2 linked regions of the Schizosaccharomyces pombe genome follow. The protein of the gene in region 1 purifies or fractionates together with the protein of each later gene. This does not show direct contact. Each region holds a gene or a part of one and is shown in the gene's direction. Other genes may lie near its edges.

What was found.
Region 2: the proteins of hhp1 (region 1) and rec11 purify together in Schizosaccharomyces pombe (affinity purification with mass spectrometry; one study listed by BioGRID). This does not show direct contact.

What each region holds. Positions count from the first base shown.
Region 1 is NC_003423.3:1,854,136-1,858,472, reverse strand, and holds hhp1 (serine/threonine protein kinase (CK1 family) Hhp1), read left to right. Parts: upstream 1-1,562; 5' UTR 1,563-1,664; coding exon 1,665-2,555; intron 2,556-2,677; coding exon 2,678-2,884; 3' UTR 2,885-3,800; downstream 3,801-4,337. Other genes in the region: mug176 (BRCT domain protein), read left to right, coding at 1-710; lvs1 (beige protein 1), read left to right, coding at 4,210-4,337. UniProt on the Schizosaccharomyces pombe protein: Involved in DNA repair. Has a probable role in repairing alkylated DNA and may regulate the activity of protein(s) involved in double strand break repair caused by gamma rays.
Region 2 is NC_003421.2:1,222,808-1,228,894, reverse strand, and holds rec11 (meiotic cohesin complex STAG protein Rec11), read left to right. Parts: upstream 1-1,926; 5' UTR 1,927-1,969; coding exon 1,970-2,234; exon of another isoform or gene 2,235-2,300; coding exon 2,301-2,413; intron 2,414-2,428; exon of another isoform or gene 2,429-2,498; coding exon 2,499-2,597; exon of another isoform or gene 2,598-2,646; coding exon 2,647-2,996; intron 2,997-3,040; coding exon 3,041-3,185; exon of another isoform or gene 3,186-3,242; coding exon 3,243-4,025; exon of another isoform or gene 4,026-4,062; coding exon 4,063-4,478; intron 4,479-4,521; coding exon 4,522-4,807; intron 4,808-4,894; coding exon 4,895-5,209; 3' UTR 5,210-5,587; downstream 5,588-6,087. Other genes in the region: G1/S-specific B-type cyclin Cig1, read right to left, coding at 103-1,350; rei1 (ribosome biogenesis protein), read left to right, coding at 5,888-6,087.

The sequences.
Region 1 (4,337 bases):
GAGAAGGTATGTTTTCAATGGAAATCGTTACTGAACAATTGCGTCTATTGGGCGCAACTGTTCATGCGTCTTTACAAATGACCGAGGAAAATCCCGTTTCTCACGCAGTACTCTACGACTGCTCACAAGAAACTCTCAAGAAAATTAGTTCTGCTCAAGTCCCAATCGTTTGTGTATCTCCTAAATGGGTTTTGGCTTGTTACTCATCTAAGTATTTAGTCGACGAGGAAATGTACTTAGTTGATCCTCAAGATATACTGCAAACTAAATGTTTACAGACTGATGACTCGGAGTTGCTGAATCCTCTTGATCCTTTCACTGACACGCAAATGATTCAGGACCCTTCTGATGCCTTCTTTTTCGATACTCAAGCAGAAAATTTAGAACCATTCGTTAATGGGTCTCCTGATTCTCATTGTTTTAATGCCGACTCATTCTTGGATCAAACTTTGTCCGATGATTATGAGTTTGGTCTCATTACTTGCAGTGATTCTAATGAGTCATCTATGTCCAATGACGCTCAACGAGAAAATAATCCAGAAACCATTTCTCAAATATCGCTATCTCCAACGGCTGATCTATTTTCGTCTTTCAAAATTACGACGGATTTAGAGATGACTCATTTAGAGTCTGCCAAAAAGAAGTATCTAGCTTACAAACCGTTAATTGGCTCTCCACTAAAAAAGAAGGTTAGTCTTATAGATTTCTAAGTGCCTTGTCTTTCTATTTCATTACTCTCTTTCATTTACAAGTTTAATTCCGCACTGCTCATTGTACATATTGTTAGATCAGTGTTTTGCGTGTTTTTCCCCTTTCTTTTATCCTGCCCATTGTCAGTTTATTTTATTTTATTTTATTCTATTCGCTCAGTCGTCACAATCCTGACCCAAATTATTTATAATCTCAATGGAGAATTAGTCAACTCTTATTTAGAACAGAAAAATGCCTTGCATTTTTCGCTTTTCTTATGTAAAGAACTACAATATTAAATTTCCGAAAAAGGTTTTCTTATTGTTTTAAAATGTTCTTTCATTTTATTTTTTCGCACTCCAATATTCGGTTGGAGGTCTTTTTCGCTTCAACTGGAAAGACAGTGTATCTTACAGCTTTTATTTTCGTCTGAGAACCCGAATTTTCTCTATCTTTTTAGATCATTCGTTTACTGGGGCTCAAATATTATTAGATTTTGTATATAGATTACAAGGAAGAGTCTGTTATAAAGGACACATTTTATTAGCCTTTTATTCTTAGTGTTAATAAACCATACCTTACATTTTACATTTTTCAGTAAATGGTAATTGATAAAATAGAAACCAAGAAAAGCATCACGCTCCCATTCTAAAAATAGATATTGGATGTACGAATGTATGTAGGTATGTTTTATTTACATTCATCGTAAACTATCAATATTCGCAAATTCACTATCTATTATAATTTAATCGCATAGCGAATTTTTTTTGTATTATAATTTATTATCGTTATTTTGATAAAGCAATGCTAACTCTCGTTATGTTTACTTTAAGTTCTTTACTTCTACGTTACCTAACTTGCTCTACTTTTTCGAACCCCTACTTTTACCTCAACCACATCATTCAATTTCAATCTATAGTATATTGGAGAGAAAAAGCGAGTGCCTTTAGCCTTAAAAGCGTTATAATATTATTATGGCTTTGGACCTCCGGATTGGGAACAAGTATCGCATTGGTCGTAAAATTGGCAGTGGATCTTTCGGAGACATTTATCTTGGGACTAATGTCGTTTCTGGTGAAGAGGTCGCTATCAAGCTAGAATCAACTCGTGCTAAACACCCTCAATTGGAGTATGAATACAGAGTTTATCGCATTTTGTCAGGAGGGGTCGGAATCCCGTTTGTTCGTTGGTTCGGTGTAGAATGTGATTACAACGCTATGGTGATGGATTTATTGGGTCCTTCGTTGGAAGACTTGTTTAATTTTTGCAATCGAAAGTTTTCTTTGAAAACAGTTCTTCTCCTTGCGGACCAGCTCATTTCTCGAATTGAATTCATTCATTCAAAATCTTTTCTTCATCGTGATATTAAGCCTGATAACTTTTTAATGGGAATAGGTAAAAGAGGAAATCAAGTTAACATAATTGATTTCGGATTGGCTAAGAAGTATCGTGATCACAAAACTCACCTGCACATTCCTTATCGCGAGAACAAGAATCTTACAGGTACTGCACGCTATGCTAGCATCAATACTCATTTAGGTATTGAACAATCCCGCCGTGATGACCTCGAATCTTTAGGTTATGTGCTCGTCTACTTTTGTCGTGGTAGCCTGCCTTGGCAGGGATTGAAGGCTACCACGAAAAAGCAAAAGTATGAAAAGATTATGGAGAAGAAGATCTCTACGCCTACAGAGGTCTTATGTCGGGGATTCCCTCAGGAGTTCTCAATTTATCTCAATTACACGAGATCTTTACGTTTCGATGACAAACCTGATTACGCCTACCTTCGCAAGCTTTTCCGAGATCTTTTTTGTCGGCAATCTTATGAGTTTGACTATATGTTTGATTGGACCTTGAAGAGAAAGGTATGAGATATCTTGGTAATAGTGCTTTTTTTATTTTCTGGGTTTCCGAGTTATTGAAAACCAATGTAATATGATATTTTATGAAGTTTACATAGTCACATTTACTAACATTTAAATTGTAGACTCAACAAGACCAACAACATCAGCAGCAATTACAGCAACAACTGTCTGCAACTCCTCAAGCTATTAATCCGCCGCCAGAGAGGTCTTCATTTAGAAATTATCAAAAACAAAACTTTGATGAAAAAGGCGGAGACATTAATACAACCGTTCCTGTTATAAATGATCCATCTGCAACCGGAGCTCAATATATCAACAGACCTAATTGATTAGCCTTTCATATTATTATTATATAGCATGGGCACATTATTTTTATATTTTCTTCTCATCTGGAGTCTTCCAATACTTGCCTTTTATCCTCCAGACGTCCTTTAATTTTGTTGATAGCGCAGGGCTTTTTCCTTGGGATGGCGAAAGTTACTTTGCTTATAGTTTATTGAGGGTTCATAGCTTATTTGGCTGAAGATCTTGTGTTGACTTAAATTCTATGCTAACCTCATGATCATATCCTCATTATGGCAAGTTTTGGTGAAAAATTTTTTAATATTAGTACATTTGCTAATAATACATTTGGTATTTGTTTTTACTACCTGTGAATCTATTCATACATTATCATATATGTTTCGAGCCAGGAACAGAAAAAAGTGAGAGAATTTTCTGCAGAAATGATCATAATTTTATCTTCGCTTAACACGAATCCTGGTGACAGATTATGCGTGGTTTAAAGCCTTTTTTTTACGACGCCATAAGCAAATTGGTTACTTTTTTATGTGTGATGAGCCTTGGGGTTTAATCTAATTAGAAGGCATTGCATTCATATACTTTTAATAATATATTATCAGCTATTTGCTGCTTTTCTTTATAGATACCGTCTTTTCCAAGCTGAACTCATTTAATCAGCGTCGTTTAACCTTAGGATGCTTAAGATGCGTTTAAATTCAATGACTTAATGCTCGAGGGATGAATGGTTTGTTTTAGTTCGTGTTCTGGGTGCATGATCTCGTGCTTGACTGTTTTATTGAAGCGTTCATTTCATGAAGTGTCTTTCGATGTTGTTCACACTTCTGTTTGCTAAATATAATAAATATTTTGCTTTTCATTTTAGTTTGTAAACATACTTGAAAAAACTAGAAAGGTGTTGTTTGTAAGTTTTTGAATTATCAATAAGATGAATTTAGAATGATGACACCTACTTCAAAATCAACAAGCATAAATGAAATAGAAATAAATTGTCTTTACTTACTATCTATTTGGTGTAGTTCTCTTCTACAGCAAGTTTTCATAGTTCACTTCGTTTGGCAAGAAATCATTATCACCGCTATACTTCACCGCCAACCACTACGAACTATTATTGCCAGTTTCAATAACGATAAATTTAAGCAAGCATCAATTTTCATTAATTTCATCGATTATATATATTAATCGTTTTCTTTTTTAAAACCATTTCTCTCTGCTTCAACTCACATGACCTATTCATAATATACACTCACTTGACCAGAGTTTATCGAAATAAATACGAAACTTGTGCACCAGGGGCTAGGAACGAATATTTTTGTTAGGTTCTTTCTTCTATCTTTTATTCAAGTAAGCTGCTATGGACAGAAAGGCGAATGCCTATTCTAAAAGCGTTGAGTTGTTATCGAGGCTTGAGGGTTGTCCCTCAGAAAAAGTTCTGTTAGAAGAGTTACGAAAATTGAGGGGGTTCATTCGAAATGATATTCC
Region 2 (6,087 bases), on another chromosome or scaffold:
TGTAGGAAATATTAAGACAATGATCCGTAATAATAAATATCGTAGGCTTAATAATAGCAAACTAACTCAGAATATCATTGTTAACAACTTCTGAAAGCAAACTCAAATCACACTTAGTACCCAGTTGTGAGCAAAGGCGCTAACTCGCTTCATTCTATTCTCCGAGTACTTTCGGTAAATGGCATTGTGATGGTTAGGGGCATCGACCAAACATTCCATAATGATTATGGCACACGGTTTCAATTGACGAGCCGTGTACCCACTATAATATACATGGCAAGGAGTCCAATCCAAATGACCCAACATCTGCATAGACAAGTAGTAGGCAGTAGCAGCAATGAAGCTAATATGGGCACCTATAAAAATTTCATCCATCAAGGTTACTTCTTGAAGATATTTGGCGAGCATGCGAATGTCGTGATCGTAAGAATCAGCTCGACTTATACGACGCAAAAACGACATGGGCCCTGGCCAACTAATGTCAAAATCCAAAAGCATCAGCATATAGCGCTCGGCTCTAATGATTTCGTCAACGGTGAAGATCCCTTGGACAACATGCGCAAAGTTGTAGATGCTTGGAGGGTGTATCTCTTCATACTTACAGGCAATCAGCAAAGCTGATAAACCTACCAACTGGACTTTTTGCAAAGATACGACTTTTATGGAAAGAAACCGGTCGATAAGGTTTACCGCCAAAAATAATGTCTCAGGAAGTAAACGAAAATGTATTTGAACTTGCACAATCCAATCAACAAGCATATGTCTTGTAACCCAGTCAATCTCTTGCTGAACTGACATGTAATTAGGAGGTGGAGCCAGCTTCCTTTCCAAAGATTGCATGTAGTGAAATATCTCAGGATCATAGTCTGGTACCATGGATGGATCAGTTTCTATATCCTCAGGCGATGGGTTAGCTTGTAATCGAGCAGCAGCTTCAGACAGGGCGGCTAAATCTTCCTTGGTCCACTCGGGAATTGTTGGTAGTCTATGCTTCCCGTGTGTAAGAATTCCTTCAGGTGCGTCAAAGCTGCCCTCACGGTTTTCCAAATCATCATCTCCAATAGACTTAGGAGTGGAGCGAATTGACCGTTCCTCTATCTCGACTTTGTCCTGGTATGCAAAATCCTCTTCAAAAGTGTCGCCAGTGGACGAAGAGATGGAGGATTCATTATTCCCTTCAATCAATGTTGGTTCATCTTGTTGATTGATGTTATCTACTGCCTTGAAAGGTGCACGAACACCCGTATTTAACTTGATGTGACTTTTCTTCTTCACATAAATGTGATCCTTTTGTAGCTGATTCTCATCTTGAAAATATGTTGCGTGTCTTGTTTGAGTCGAAACGTCCATTAGTAAACCAGCACACACTTGTTTAGAAAGTTTTGGACATGCGATGAAAGTCGGTTTTCAAACTGCCTTTTACTCAGGTAGGAACCCTAGTCTTCTCTTTGGAAAAGATCCTTAAAAATTTAGATGCTTTTCGACTTCTAAAAATTCGAAAAAATGACTCTACACCCAAATATATGAAGATACTATTGAACGAAGGATTCGAGGAAAGTAATCTTTTGGATTGACCAGAAAGATTAGTACTACAACAGTACAAGAACTAAAAATCTCAAATGAAACCAACGAACAAGAGTATTAACCAAAAGTTGGAGTAGGACTTTGCAAAGGAATACCGAGCTACTACTAATGAGAAAAAGGAGTTGGTGGGTTCTCAAAAGGGGTCAGGGAAAAGCCCGAAATTCCGAGTAAAAACGCGTTCTTATTCATAAATTAGTTACTTTATGTTTCAAAAGTAAAACTTTAATAAATTATTATATACTTGATTGCAATGGTTGTATGTGAACTGCAAAATAATTAATGACTGACTGACGCGACTCGTGTCACGTAAACAAACCCATCGTTTCTGTTAGATTAATCTTTGCCATAACCAACCACCATCGTACCAATTAATTGAGTGATTTCAATGAGATTCGAATTTGAATCAGATGCAAGCAGTCATCTCAATGAAGTCCTTACTGAATTAGAAAGCGTGGAGCTTGAAAATGTTGAATATGAAGGTCCAAGTTTACAGAATGTCAGCATTTGTGCCTCGCCCTCAGAAAAAAAGCGGAAATGGGGAACACAAGATGAATTTTCTTTGACGGAGAATGAAGAAAATAATGAAATAGAGACGAATGAAGAGATGCACGTAAATTCTCATGATTATGCCTTTCCACAAGAATTTTTTCGTAAGTTTGCTTGCTTATAAGAGAAAAAAAGTCTTCGATAATATATTCTAACAAGCATACGAAAAGTCAAACTGTTGGATATAGATATGCCGCTCGAGCAACTTTCTCAACATTATTTTGAAGACTATAAAAGTAATAGCGCTGACTTCATGCTGACCTTTATAAATTTCGCATTAGTTGTAAGTTTAGCAGGAATGATCCGCGACGTTTTCTAGCTTTTGCTGTTTTGTTTACTCTTCCTTTGAAACGTAAACTAATTCATAGGCCTCTGGTTGTCAACCCTTCGTTACGAACTTTGATGTACAGGACGTAGATTCAATTCCTGAAACATTGTCTCAGGTCAATCGTTCAAGTTTTCAAAAGGTGTGTGCATCATCTTTTTGTAATATTTACTTACCATACATATCGCTAGTCTTCTTGCGCTTATACTGATTATCTTTATACTTCTAACTCTAAAGAAGCTAAAACGGTGCGTATTCGTTTTCAGCTTTTTTTGGTCGAATTCATCAGTAAAGTTTACGTGGAAGACGCATTCCTCGGAGACTCATTCATGGAAACTACAAAAGCTTGGATTTTTACCATGACGACAAGTCCTTGGATGCTTGTTAGACATACTGCAACAACTATTTGCTGTGATATCATGCGATGCTTATGCCTTATAGTAAACAAACTTTCCGAAAAATCAAATCAAACTGCGGAAATTCTGGTACTGAGAGACTTAACATCTAGGTTCATTGACATGATTCACGACATTTGTGATAGGTTGGCAATACTACTTTTCTTAACGACTCTAACCTTTTTACTAGTGTACTATTCTCAAGGATTCATGATATACGTGCAAGCATTCGTATAGTGTGTGTTACTGCTCTATATGATTGTTGCCAATTGCTTCCCACCTATCTTATAAACAGAAATTTGATTAGACATTCTGGCTGGGGGTTATCTGATGCAGTAAGTGTATAAACAATCGCTACTGCTGTATCATTTAAATACTAACTGAACGTATAGGAATCACAAATCCGAAAAATCTCCTTAAAAATAATAGATTATCTTTCTTCTCATGAACCTGAAAAAGATCAAGATTTTGTGGTTGATTTTCTTGACAGATTCTCGTTAAGAATTGTGGAGATATGTCGGTACGATATTGATTCTGTTCGATCTGTTGCCCTCAAGACATGCGAGAAACTGATGGAGAAAATATCGTTGAATGGAAAATGTATCAATATTGTTTCTAGCTGCATATTTGACGGGAAGCCCCAGAATCGAATCTCGACAATGCGAATCCTCGTTGCCCATACTAATGAACGCTACGCAAATTATTGTGAAGCAAAGACTGCAACAATCAGCTTATCAAAGCTCTTAAGGCGTGAAAAAATCCCATTGTTAGTTTCCAGCTTTGAAAGCCTATTCAAAATGAATGCGTTATTATTCATACTTGAGCAAGGATTTGAATCTTGGTTCCGTGATAGCAGCGATCACATCTTTTCGCGTGTGAAAGACGATGACAAATTTGTATATCAGTCGCAGGAGAATAACTTTTATGATGCGGATTTCATACGAGAATATGATATGAATAATCATAGGCAGCAATTAATTGAGGAAAGCATGCATTCCATTCATACAAACTCACAATTACTTGCCAGTTGGGAGGATGTTGCAAAGCTCTTGCTTTATGATCGCTTTGATGCAAAAGATACTAACAGTGTCTTAAACCCCTGTATACCGAGCAACGCAGTGATAGAATTTTCTTCTATCTATCTCCATTATTTTGCAACACATATTAGCAAAAGAGTAAGTTATTTAAAGCTTCATATTACTAAACCTCTAGTCGAAGAAGCCAGGTAAAAGACTTGAAGATGAGGTCGTAAACCAACAGCAAGCAATGTTACGAAACCTTCCATTACTATTACAGAAATACAGAGAATCTTGTGTTTCATCATACTTTTTTATAAAATGCGTAGAGCAAATTCCTGACGAGCTTCTTTATAAGAGAGAATTTCATAAGGACTTTTCAAAGTTGTATAAAGAAATACTGGATATATTTAATTCAACTACCGTTAACTTCCTGATGATTTTGTGCAGCAGATTCTTCCACCGATTGGCGGTCAACAAAGTTGTACAGGAAGATATATTATTTGCCATTGACAATGTATATAATGATTTAGCAGAAAGTTTACACGAGCAACTCAATGCATACATTCAAAGAAAAAAAATAAACAAAAAAAATCAGTTGAATGGCAATGAGTAAGGATTTTTCTTTTTGTTATTAGATTGCTAACTTTACAAGTGAAACGCAAAACTTGGTTTTAGCTTTAAATAAGTTTGGATGCTTTGCAAAGGAAATGGTCTGTCTGCGAGACGTCAATGATTGGAACATTAAACTGTCAGAAAAATTATGCGAAATTTGTAGTCTTGAAGTCGGTCCTATCGTCTGTTATTCTTCTTTGAAAGTTTTATTTCTTCTTCTGCTTTCTGATATGAGAGATAGAAACTGTATTTTTACAAATATATTTTTAAAAGCAGCTAAGGTTGCGAAGCAAAAAAATGGAAACTCCTTTTTAAGCAAAGTTTTCGTAAGTCTCTAATGTTGCTGTCTATCTATCTTTTATGACTGTTGATTTCAATCACATTTAGTGGAGTAAAATGCTAACTATAAGCAGATTACAATTACGATGCTTACATTGTTTCTTGGATCAAAGGCAAATAATTGGGATATAAATTTTAGTGACGATGACTTGAAATTGATGAATGAAGAAGAAATCATGGAACAAATTGAAACTTTTAAAGCATGGTCAATGAAATTTAAAGAGAAATCATCTGGAAACCCTTCTTACTTTTTTTCACCCGAAGATACTGAGGAGAAGGAATTATGGAATAATCTGTTTGAGGATTGGTATCCCAATCGTGCTAGAGATCCTGGAACACTGAGTCATTTAGTGAAAGGTTTAAAAGAAACAGCTGACCATTTATCATAAAACGAAATTTTAACACTAATTAAACCCCGAGGGAAAAGAGATAAGAAAGCACATGTGCTAACTTTCTTATTGAGGCAAGGAAACTTATTAAACAAAAGGAAAAGACATTAAACTCTATTATGTATTTCCTATATGATTATTCCAACGAAACTAACTCAAAAATACCTCAATTTCAAATACTCAATTTTAATTAAACCCTGAAGAGTGGGAGCTCGTGTGCTCGCTAAAACTACAATGCATGCCATTTCTTTCTTTCCAGCCCTTTGTCTATATATGAGTTTTCTTAGGACTTACTGGTTAATCAAAAGGTACGCCTTATGTTACTAAGCAATAGAAAATGTTTTTGAGGGATGCATAAATTAAGTTTAAAAAAACAAGACATTAAGATGTTTAACATATCAATTAATTTTATTTGATTTCAATAAAATTGATAATTATTTGACACTTTAAAATAATTTGGTGGTGCTACAAGTTATGTAGGCAATAGTTGATCGTAGGCAAGTTGGATTCAACCAACACCTTTTTGTGCAAGGTATTGTAAAAAAGGGTTGACTTCATCTCATTAAGTTAGTTTGAGTCAAAGAATATATTTGAGGAAAGACTCGGCTTCAATATCAATTTTTTTTTCGATAAAAAAGTGTACTGGCTAAGAATTGAATTACTTGACAGAATACCGAAATGTCGACTTCTTTTGCTTGCACGACTTGTACTGTGGCTTTCAATAATGCAGAATCACAGAAAATACATTGGAAGTCTGACTGGCATCATTATAATCTGAAGAGAAAGGTTGCTAGCTTGCCGCCGTTGAGTGCTGAGGTGTTTGCTGGAAAGATTTTGTCCATTCAAAAGCAGAACGAGGAAGTCCAGAAAAAAGCAGA